Arabidopsis thaliana: one gene and its partner. The protein of the gene in region 2 purifies or fractionates together with the protein of the main gene of each other region. This does not show direct contact. Each region holds a gene or a part of one and is shown on either strand. Other genes may lie near its edges.

Region 1 (7,009 bases), 2.0 Mb from region 2:
ATATGCATAGCTTTTTCGAGAAAACAAAATATATTGCACGATTATATAATCAAATTCTTTTTTTTCTCACGTTCATATATTATGTATATGAATATGATTTATACGACCACTCAATTAGTCACATGTTATTGATACTTGACAGAACTCATTATGTCTGAATTTGGATTTGAAATATACTGATAGGTCAATGATACAAATATTTGATACTAAAACTCAAAAGAGAAAGAAATCGAGTATAAGAAAGATATACTTACACGAAATAAAGGATAGTGTGGTTTAAGTGGAGTAGAAAGTTGAATGAAGCTTCGTTCTAGATATGGAAGGTCCGGTGGGAGAATTAGGGTTGTGTACGACTCTAACCAAATCTTTGGGTTTCCTTGTTCCAATTCTCTATATTCGTTTCGAAAGCAACACATACATATATTGAATCTTCCATTTATTCTCTTTCGTTTTCAAGTTCGACGTCTCTCCCACTTTTCAAAAGAGAAGTAATAAAAAATGGCTTTCGTCCATATATTATGGTATCATGCATTGAAAACCATGCAACATCAAACCAAAACACGAGAGGGTGCATTTTCATGAGTACCCATTTGAAGTAATTAGACAACTCTGAGATTTGTCAATGGATGGTCGTAGCATGCTTTGAGGTATCAATGAACTTAGATGTTAAGAGAGTATACTCGCCAAAATACGGAAACAAGAGAGAACAAAACTGAGAAAGCCAAATCCGTACAAGTATAAGCCTCACAACAACTCAAGAAATCAGTCTTGGTTGTTCAGAATTCTGATGAGAAATACAAATTCTCCCTGAGACTAATTATTCTTATAATGTAACTTGGATAGTATAAGAAGAAAACATCATATAGACGAAAAGGTGAATGGTTTGAGTCGTTGAGCTTGACCCTTCTTATGTTATGACGGTGGGGGCTGATCGGCCTGTGAACTCTTCCATCTTCGACAGCTTTAGAGCTAAGTCAACCTGTGAATCACACATCAACAATTACGTATTTGATTAGAGAAAACCCCTTTGGTATTAGCTAAATGGTAATGAGTCGGAAAACAGTTTATGGATTTGAGGTTTTATAGTAAGCAACTGACCAGAGGAGACAAAGCTTCCTGGGATTCTCGGCCGGTTTTTGAAGCATCCTTTTCGTACTGTTCGATGTAAAGCCGGATGGTTGCTCCTTCTGAGCCAGTTCCAGAGAGACGGAAAACCTTCATATGGTTTCAGATATAACAAGAGAGGATTAGTTAGTTTTGATTTCTATCACTTTGTTCTTAGCTGGAATGTATCCAAGCTCAAATACCGAAGAAAAAGATGACTTACAAGTCGTGATCCGTCTTCAAACAAGTAACGGATTCCCTGGTGCTTCGAAATGGATCCATCAACTGGATCTTTGTACTCGAATTCATCAGCACTGGCGACGCTTGCCACGTCCGAACGAATTCCTTTCACAATCCTGAATAAAATCAAGAGAGAAGAAGAGGTTAGAAAAACAGAGTACCAAACTGATGAGTACGTGTTCAAGTATAAAAGGAAGGGATTTCAGAGAAGTGGAAGTGTGTGTACTTGTTAACTTCAGGAATTGAAGATTGCAATTTGACCAAATGCTCCATCAGTTCCTTAGCTTTACCTGCGTCTACATTCTTTAGAGACAAATTTTGAGATGTCAGTAAGGGTACTGTTTCTTCCATATAATATGGTATAATTACAATCACCAAACTTAGCAACTTTTACCTCATAGTCGTAACGAGTGTAATAGTGACGACCGTAGGTAGCCCAATGCTGGCGGACAATGTCTTCAACTGACACCAGTTTAGCGTTACCGTCAATATTTCCCTTGTTCTTGTGAGCAAGTATAGACATCCATGCAAGAACTGCCCATATTCCGTCTTTCTCACGGATATGATCCGAGCCTGTGAAAGATCTTTCTTTCAGAACTGTATAGGTTGTTTTAAAGTTATGAACAGATGTGTGAGTGTGGAAATAGAAACTGACCAGTTCCAAAACTTTCTTCTCCACAAACAGAACACATCCCAGCATCCATCAGATTACCAAAAAACTTCCAGCCTGTTGGAACCTGATATGTGATTTAATAGAGATATGAAATTAAATTATGTAGTTAGGAGAAAAGAAGCTGGATAGAAGTTGCACGGTGACATGTACCTCAAAGAACTTCAAATTCAAGCTTTTTGCAACGACATCAAGAGCAGCTGAGGTTGGCATGCTCCTAAAACAAGAAGTGGAAGTTACAAAATAATCCACAAAAAAGATATATTAAAAGAGTTGTATACACAGAATTCTACTAGAAGTAAAAAAAGAGCCCAGGTGTATAATACCTTGCAACACCTTTCAAACCAGAGCTGAAGTACGGGATGGCACCAATAGCATTTGCAGCAATTATGGCAACTGAATCCGAAGGAGTTACAAAGAACCTACAAATGAAGAGATACTTTAAGTTTAAAAGTACTTGGTATACTAGTTCCATGGATGTATCTCTCTTGAAAACGTCAGTAAGCTACCTTTTACCAAGGATCATGTTACGGTCTGCATCACCATCAGCAGCGGCGCCAAACTCTGGAGGTTCACCTCCAGTGTCGGATTTACCTAATCCCATTCGTGCCACAAGCTCCTTAGCATAGGTCAAATTGGGATCCGGATGCCCTCCTCCAAAGTCCTCCTGCAAATCGTTGTATTGTGGTAAATATTGAGCCTGGAGGTGTATTTGTAATCATTTATGGAATAGCGTTTCTTGGTTAGACAAAAATAAGACCTTGGGAGTGCAGTTCAATAATGCGCTTTCTTGCGCACCGAGTTCTTCGACAAAGATGCGATGTGCATAGGCTCCAGCAACTCCATGCAATGCATCATAGCTTCATAAAACAAAGTAAAATATAACATTACAGTGATGGAACATATATTACAAAACTTAACTCAAATGGAAAAGGTTTGGGAACCAATGTTAGTTACATACCAGAATGTAAACTTTGGAGATGATAGCAATTTCCGGATGGCTTCAAAATCGAAGATTGACCTTGAAGGAGCGAGAATTTTTCTTTAGAAAGATCATAAAAATTGCACATAGACCATAGAGGGAGCAGATTCCAGAATCATGCTTTTAAATTGAGGGACCACTCACTTCATTAATTTAACGTAGTCATCTGCGGGATCAAAAACTTCAACATCAAATTTTCCTTCAGGTCCTTCAAAACTGGTTACACCAACAGCAGAAATATCAACCTGTCGCATTCATCAGATAGACCAGATCAACTATGATTCAACAAAAGACAGATGATGGAAATCTATAAGAGGATTCTTAAGAATACATTGGGTAGATCTTGTGCTATTGGGTACTCCTTGATTGTCTTAGTGTTCTCGTAAATTTTATCAGTGATTGATTCAGGAGCAGGTCCTCCATTTTCCATATTGTATTTGATTCCAAAATCCTGTACAAGGGGTATGGAATCACCTCTTAGTCTTATTATCCATCTAGATATCTTATTATTAAAAAAAGAACAAATAAAGAGATACAAAACGAATAGTTCAAATGAAAGGATAGCACAGTAGAGATGGAACAAGAACAGAACGGACCTCAGTAGGGCCACCAGGATTGTGGCTTGCTGTTAAGATAAATGCTCCAGTTGCTTTCGATCCCTGTAATCGGAGACTGGGGTTAAGTAACTCAAAACCATCATTACATTTTGCGTCATGCACAAACATAGCAAATAACCAAAAAAAACAAAAAACAAAATGTCACTACAACCATGAGCATAGAGAAAGAAATCTCACATCAGCCCCTGATCTTTCACGAATCACAGCTGATACAGCAGGAGTTGATAACAGAGTGTTTTTACCAACCCACACACGTCGTACACCATTAGCTGCTGCCATCTTAATTATGATCTGTTAAGATACAAAATAAAATTGTATGAAAAGCAGTAAAACATCTTCATCTGTAACAGTATGAACCGGATTTGTAATAGGAGTAGATCAAACAAACTTAAGTTTCAGAGATTTCAAAGTCAAACAAAACTTTAACTTCTATAAACCTCTAATCTCTCTATAGAGGTTTCGATGCAAATTTTAGAGATGAACACAAAGAAAAATAAGCAAGGCATTGATGATAATAGCAGGCCTTCCTAACACAGGAGTTCCCTCCAAAACATTGTAAATACATGAGCACTAATTCATAATTCTATGGATACGCCAATTACATTCACACAGATCCAGAAGACAGGGAATATCATCGGCCTTACCTGAACAGCATCCTTTGAGTAATAACGACCATCACCAGAGACCACAAGTGTGGCACCTGCACATATGAACAATAAACACTCATGAATTTTTCGAATGAGCAGATATCTCTGAGAAGCTAAGATGAGTATGAAAAAAATCTCACCTTTAACTTTCTCCGCCGTAAGAGCATTGAATGTTGCTTGGACAAAATTCTCTAGATAATTGGGTTGCTTGAACACTTTCACCTACACAGTTAGAAAAAAAAAAAAAAATACTAATCAGAGATACAAAAAGATGCTAGTTTGATATCTGCAGAGAGTAGAACAAACAATCGACACTCGATTGATTGGATAAAATGATCAACCCAAATTTCTTTTATCAAAATATCTGAAACAGATCTGATCAGTGAGTCTCAATAAACGTCATTGCAGATCGTATATACGTTAAACGAAGATCTGACAATAACAACTAGGCTCTTCCCTAGTTTCAATTATACACAAATTCAATCCATATAGTCTCCATTTCGCTACACCAACTCAAAAAACGTAATTTCAAGCTCTATCAAATCAACATTCACCACATAGAAGCGTCCCAAACATATACTCAAATCAAATATAATAAACGTGATCTCGAACTTGATCCAAATAAAATAACGAAAACGAAATTTAAAATTTGTCATCATTCACTAATCAATATAGATTAATGCATAGATCAAATCTAATCAGATGGTCAATCTCACTTCAAAATCACACTCAAGAAAATCTAAACAGATCTGATCCAGATGCAACAATTCGATTTCGTTTGATTCAGAAGACAAGGATCGATCAACGAACCTTCTTACGAAGACCAGAAGTTCCTGGTTTCTGGCCATCAATAGGAGATGTGGATACGGTAGAAACCTTGAAAACCATATTCGCTTTGAGAAGAACAAAGATCAAAATTTGGACGCAGAGAGAGTGATGATGATAAAAGCAAGCAGCTCTTAAATAAATTACGCAAAAGAGAAGCTTGCTTAAAAGCTAAACGATCCCAAGACACGTGTAACCAAGTGAGTGAACTAGAACGTTTCTCTCGTTTTCACTGACACAGTAAGAAAATCTCAGCCGTTGGATTGTATTTTCAGATTTTAAATTCATTTTTGCTTGCGTAACATTTCAAAGATTAAATATTTGATTGATCATGTGTAATCTCTAGAATATGGTAATAGTAATATACGTGCTACGTAATCCGATTATCTTAATGTAATTAACTTTTCGTATATTCGTCTCACATGACAAATCATACATTATATTATTCTAATTGATTCCAAAATTTTACATGACAATAATCTGTAAAAATGTCTTAAACGGGTAAATTTCTGAGTAACCGAAGAGCTTTCTCCCATTGTGGTCGTTGAGACATAACGATACGTCTCAATACTGGTACAGCTCCTGCTCTTATGATGGCTGTGTGGTTCTCACTGTCCATGGTTAAGTTGTACAATACTGACAAACTCGCTTCAACGCACCGCTCGTTCCTTTCTTCAAGAAGCTTAACCAGCGGTTCGATACCTCCTTGTGAAGCAAGTGTTTGGATAGATTCTGGAACTCCCTCGGAGACTATCTTGTTCAGTTCTAAAACCGCTGCTTCTTTCGTTTCTGGTGATGAGGAAAAGCTCATTTGTTCCACGAGGCTCGGGATCGTTTTGTACAGAGTTACCTCAAGATTGATCGGATTGTTGAGGGATTGAGAGGGAGAGGAGAGAGCGGTGAGTTTGACAAGACAAGCGGCAACCCAGTCTTTGTAGTGTAGAGGGAGGCTTGATCTTAGGATCTTCCTTACTAATTCTATGAAGACCGCGGTATCTATTGTTTGGCGAAAGGACTCGGAGTCAAGAAGTTTTGTCAGTAGCCTTGAAGCAGCGGAAATCGTCAAACCAGCTTCTTCTAGCTTAAGCAGATGTTTCTCTAACTCCTCAGCTTCATTCTCAGGTTCTGCATTTCCATAAAAAGTATTGTATGCTGTTATAAAATTCAAACAGAGTTATATCAAAAGATAAGTTTTGTACCTTCCAGGACTTTCTGCCGGAGAGCAAGATCAAGAACAGTTGTGATATCCTTGGAGATGATCGTGTCCATGTTTGGATTACTGATTATACCAAACTCGATGACAGAGATTGCGTTTCTTAGCAGGTTCGGAGAGGCTGTTTTCGCAATCTGGACGAGCCGAGAAAAAACAGCAGCGTCCAGAACTTCCTTTCTGTTCATTCCCATCCGATGTTTTGAGTAATTAATACTTCTAAAAAAACAAAAAGAATGAATGAGCTGAAGATAGGAAGATCGAGAAGAAGACTGACCTGGAGTCTGCTTTTGATCCGTTCACCGGTCCTTCATAAAACTGTAGCATGTAGAGAAATAGCATAAGCCAAATGAAAGCAGATTTAATGTATAATAATCAACCTTGGAAAATAAACACACCTTGGATTCCATTTCCTTGCTAGGATCTAAGATATGAGCAATTATATCCAGAACCTGCATAACATAGTTCACAAAATACCATTTCACGTCCAGTTATTCCATAATAGCCTAGACAAAGATATCAAAGAACAAAGGAAGAAGAAAATGAAGTCATACGTGTTCTGTAACGTTTAGTGAGATCTCTGGCTGCTTCAGAAGATTAATAAGAAACCATACTGCACCTTCAGCTTCAATCCTCTGGCAAACAGTGCGGCTGCATTACAAGTATAAATAATCTCAACCTCTGAGGAGAAACTGCTTAGTAAAAATGTAAAGA
Region 2 (4,796 bases):
GATTTGGGATTCGACAATGGATCGGGTTTTAAAAACGAATCCGGGTTTTTTTGGTTTGGTTTTGACCGATAATATGGTTTCGTCTCGGGTTTACGTATCAAACCGAAGTAACCACGATTCGGGGACATTAAGCTCTTGAACTTTTAATTGGTGGGGAAATAGACGTTTAACTTTCATTTCATGGGTAAATAGCAAGAGGTCAAAGATCGGGCTTCATCTAGCCAGATGCGATAGTTCCCATGGGGAAATAGACCGTTTTTCCGTAATGTTCTGATGTTAAACAGAATGGTTTTATAACATAACAGTTCATGTATGTATGATTTGGTTCTTACCGGTTAAGTAGATAATGTATGGTGAAAATGGAAAACGACGTCTCTCACAACAAAAAACAACTAAAACCCAAAATCTCGACCCAAAACCGAATTTAACTTCAAATTAAGTAAATATGGCCCGAAGTTATAAGCCCGAATAACAGAGGCCCATTATAAAACCTGGAGCACAAGTTTCTCGTCTATAAGTGCTAGGCTACGCATAGGGCTCCGTGGATTTGTTCTAAGAGGATATTCTCCGTTGATTTGCAATTGTCAATTTCCAAGCTTCAGAACTAGAGTTCGTTCGTTCACGACGTCACTGTGGCTCTCGCGGCGTGGCTGTTACTTTCCGGTGGGTGAGGTACGGTACTTGTTATCTCTCTCCGAAACCCTAAGTAGTCCTTGGATATGTATCTTTGCCTTTTCTTATATTTACGTTTAGGAAGATAATTCGTTTTCTTGGTAGTTTACCCCTTGTATAAATATAGTCATATAGAGCTCAGGGTCAAGTGATAATCAACACATTCAATCGATCTCTTTGCATCTCTTGTCATCAAGGGTTAACTTTATCTATTATTTTGTGTTTCTCTTTGTATAGAAAAGAGATGTCGAGTGATTTGCAATCGAACTCCGGCAGATGTACCTCCGAGGACTAGATATTATGCGGATAGCTCAGCCCGTTTGGTTTTCATGGAGGGGCCTGAGATGGAGAGAAAGATGATGACAAGCTATGCGGGAAACCCAAAGTACTCCTTCTTCTGGAGCTCAGATCGTTATCATGCTTATTACCAGAAAAAGCTTGCTGGATACCGTGCGCAGAATTACATGAGGGACCTGAGATCAAACTTAGTGATTATGGGATACCTGATGTTCCATTGAGGGTGAGGGTAAGGGAACCACCGCTTCAGATTCCAAAACCTCCTCCGGGCTTTGCTAGTGACCAGAAGCCGACAATGAAGTATCCGCCTCCACCACCTCGCAAGTATGCAGCTATACTCCCTGAATGGATTACTGGCAAAGAGCTTGAAACTATCAAGGAAGGGGATATGGACGAGAAACAGCAACGATAGCTCTTAAGAAATCAGCTAAACTCTAGCAAAAACACGTGGATTGCTAATATGCTTTATAGGTTATAGGTTAAATTTGTTGAGGTATAAAACAGTCATTTCAAAAAATCAAAAATTCACGATTAATTTAGCTATTGTTTAAAAGTTTAGATATTAAATAATATTTTTCTCTTTTATAAATCGAAAATGTTTGGATATTAAATGTATAAAAAACTAGAAAAGTAAATAATTGGGCGTTTCTCTTTATTTGTTGTTTCCCTCGATTAGCCGATTGCGTCTGCAAACGCGCCAACGGCTACTTTTTCTCCGGAGCCGGAGCTCTCAAAGCTGAAACCCTAAATTTTCCCGGTATCTTCCTCATCGTCGATTTTACTCAATTTAGAATAAAAATCGGAAAGCAATCGAATTCTAGCGACGTGAATTAAGAAGAAAGAGAGAGGCGCGATTATTGAGTGGGTTCTGAAAAACCCGAAAATGCCGGAGCAGCCAAAGAAAGTTGCTGATAGGTATCTCAAGCAAGAGGTTCTTGGGCAAGGTACCTATGGAGTCGTCTTCAAAGCCACTGATACTAAGGTCATATCTTTGCTGATTTTTGTTTGCAAAATTAGGGTTTAGGATCTGTCGGCAATTCCTAATTTCTCCTTCTTTTTTGGTTCCGGATTTTGATTGAAGTTTTTGTTGGATCAAGGGGAAGTAATTGTGGGGTGTAATTTTGCAGACGGAACAAACTGTAGCAATTAAGAAGATAAGGCTTGGTAAACAAAGAGAAGGTGTAAATATTACAGCTCTCAGAGAAATCAAAATGCTCAAAGAGCTAAAGCATCCTCATATTATTCTGCTCATTGATGCATTTCCTCACAAGGAAAACTTGCATCTTGTCTTTGAGTTCATGGAGACTGACCTCGAAGCAGTTATTCGCGATTCTAACATTTTCCTCTCACCCGCCGACATTAAATCCTACCTCCTAATGACATTTAAAGGACTTGCTTATTGCCACGATAAATGGGTTTTGCACAGGTACATTTGTTTATCCTTAACAACTTGCTTATTGTCTCTGTAATGTTGCTTGGTTTGGGCACTGATTATGTGTGGCTTGAGTTCAGGGATATGAAGCCAAATAACTTGTTAATAGGAGTTGATGGACAGCTTAAGCTTGCAGATTTTGGCTTAGCACGTATATTTGGTAGTCCAAATCGTAAGTTTACCCACCAGGTATGCCTTTTGCCGCATTGCCATTTTATCTATTGCTGTAATATAACCAAATTGATCGACTAACTCATATGAAATATTGATAAGAAAGTTTTAAGTAGTTCTTATCAGTAGTTATGTCTAGGGATGAGGAAGATTAGATGTCTCATGTCTTTTCATTTCTCTAGTTGTATACTAAATGTAACATGTATTAAACAGTCTCAACTCATATTAAATGATGGTGCAGTAGCTATCTCATATCTGTACTAAAAGTTTTGCTGTTAACCGGATTTTTGACCTGAGCTATTTCTGCCTTCTTTGTTTCCCTTTGAACACCCAAAATTACAATAGAATCCATGTGAGCTCTGTTTCCAAATGCGCAATGCAACTTATTTTCTCTTGTTTCTAGTTGTTATATTATCTTCATATCTTGATATATCTGATAATGCACAGGTGTTTGCTAGATGGTACAGAGCACCAGAACTTTTGTTTGGTGCAAAACAATATGGTGCTGCAGTTGATGTTTGGGCCGTTGCCTGCATATTCGCCGAACTTCTACTACGCAGACCATTTCTTCAGGTTAAATAATCTTACTCAAATCTAATGGCTACCATTAAAACTTTAGTCCAATTGTCATCTCTTTGGATGTTATACTCACTCTCAGACTACATAATTACATATTCATTATCAATTTTCTCGGTATGTTTACTTATTCTATTTTTGCCGTTGCAGGGAAACAGTGATATTGATCAATTAAGCAAAATATTTGCTGCTTTTGGGACACCAAAAGCAGATCAGTGGCCGGATTTAACAAAGCTTCCAGATTATGTAGAGTATCAATTTGTCCCTGCACCGTCTCTACGTTCTTTATTCCCAGCAGTTAGTGATGATGCTCTCGACTTGTTGTCCAAAATGTTTACCTATGACCCAAAGGCTAGAATTTCCATTAAGCAGGCTCTAGAACACAGGTGCCTAATGTTCACCATCTGTTTATAGGCAAAGTATATCTAGCGTTCTGCTCTCACACCTTTGTTTTCATTATTTCAGGTACTTCACTTCTGCACCTGCTCCTACTGACCCGGCTAAGCTCCCAAAGCCCGTTCCTAAGCAGGATGGTAAATCATCTTACGGTAAACATGAGGCCATTACAGTGCAATCACCACCACGTAAGCTTAGAAGAGTGATGCCTGAGCGTGGGAGGGTTGATAGTTTGAAGTCTCATGTTGACAAGGATCAACAAGCACCCATGTCATTAGATTTTACCATCCTCGCTGAGCGACCTCCAAACAGGCCAACAATCACCAGGTAAAAAACAAGACAGTTTCTCCCTCACTGCATATTAATCTCATTTGTCATTACAGCCTCAAGATTGATTGTGTTTTAATGACTTCTTCTTGTTCAATTTGTAGTGCTGATAGATCTCATCTGAAGAGGAAACTCGATCTTGAGTTCCAGTAAGACTGTTGGTTATGCACTCTTCTCTTAGCTTCTCCATTTTCATGTTCTGGTGAAACCACACCATTGTTAAGTTGTCAATTTACTGCTGCTTGTGTAATCTGGCGATTTATTCTTTTCCATATTTAGCTTGATTACAAACCAGAGGGACCTTAGATTCACAATGATAATATTTTGTTGTCCCATAGGCTTTTTATTCATTGTAAACTGATCATACTGTACTATGAAGTCTATGATTATAAAGCTTTCTACTTTTTGCTTCTAGAATTCTTTGCGGTACAAAGAGAGCTCTGTTTAATCTTCAAACTCATTTTTCTTTCGATGGTGGCCCCAGGAATTTAATTGATCCATTGACAGCTCAAAAAGATTTTACCAAATACCAACAACAGGTTTATAAAACACATACGAGCCAGAAAAACAGATGCCCACATGTCAGTCAGGCTCTTCTTTAGTCATACCCGCTTGAAGACTATCACGATTGCTGTGCAGTTGTCTTTGCAACGACGTTCTTTCACAGCTTCCTTCACAAGACGGCGACTTACCGTGCTTACATGCAAGCCCTCCTACAAAATCATAGTTCTTAGCCTCTTAGTTTCTCACATTTAATTTCCCTTGACACTCTTTACTTGTGTGCACAAGGTTCTAACAAGCCATTTTGCTCACATGGCTACCGAAAAACATCTGTTTTTTGAGCTTCTTTCTATGTAGTTAAAGAGAGTGTGAAATGGAGGACAAAGTGATTTTGACAACTGTAGGTATTTACCTTCAAAAGTTT

What was found. The genes of interacting proteins can lie anywhere in the genome.
Region 1: the proteins of CDKD1;3 (region 2) and PGM3 purify together in Arabidopsis thaliana (affinity purification with mass spectrometry, with the first as the bait; one large-scale study listed by BioGRID). This does not show direct contact.

The regions. Positions count from the first base shown.
Region 1 is NC_003070.9:8,218,085-8,225,093, reverse strand, and holds PGM3 (Phosphoglucomutase/phosphomannomutase family protein), read right to left. Parts: upstream 5,287-7,009; 5' UTR 5,149-5,286; coding exon 5,071-5,148; intron 4,483-5,070; coding exon 4,401-4,482; intron 4,314-4,400; coding exon 4,258-4,313; intron 3,905-4,257; coding exon 3,791-3,904; intron 3,656-3,790; coding exon 3,593-3,655; intron 3,448-3,592; coding exon 3,328-3,447; intron 3,242-3,327; coding exon 3,141-3,241; intron 3,036-3,140; coding exon 2,976-3,035; intron 2,875-2,975; coding exon 2,775-2,874; intron 2,682-2,774; coding exon 2,524-2,681; intron 2,437-2,523; coding exon 2,341-2,436; intron 2,232-2,340; coding exon 2,168-2,231; intron 2,082-2,167; coding exon 2,000-2,081; intron 1,918-1,999; coding exon 1,739-1,917; intron 1,648-1,738; coding exon 1,571-1,647; intron 1,461-1,570; coding exon 1,328-1,460; intron 1,216-1,327; coding exon 1,099-1,215; intron 980-1,098; coding exon 908-979; 3' UTR 547-907; downstream 1-546. Other genes in the region: AT1G23180 (ARM repeat superfamily protein), read right to left, coding at 5,579-6,210, 6,285-6,475, 6,573-6,613, 6,694-6,747, 6,850-6,946. UniProt on the Arabidopsis thaliana protein: Catalyzes the reversible isomerization of alpha-D-glucose 1-phosphate to alpha-D-glucose 6-phosphate. The mechanism proceeds via the intermediate compound alpha-D-glucose 1,6-bisphosphate.
Region 2 is NC_003070.9:6,206,356-6,211,151, reverse strand, and holds CDKD1;3 (cyclin-dependent kinase D1;3), read left to right. Parts: upstream 1-1,623; 5' UTR 1,624-1,852; coding exon 1,853-1,951; intron 1,952-2,096; coding exon 2,097-2,395; intron 2,396-2,481; coding exon 2,482-2,590; intron 2,591-2,690; exon of another isoform or gene 2,691-3,006; intron 3,007-3,019; coding exon 3,020-3,145; intron 3,146-3,298; coding exon 3,299-3,534; intron 3,535-3,613; coding exon 3,614-3,871; intron 3,872-3,975; coding exon 3,976-4,024; 3' UTR 4,025-4,281; downstream 4,282-4,796. Other genes in the region: AT1G18050 (SWAP/surp RNA-binding domain protein), read left to right, coding at 597-667, 910-1,190; AT1G18030 (Protein phosphatase 2C family protein), read right to left, coding at 4,474-4,584, 4,785-4,796.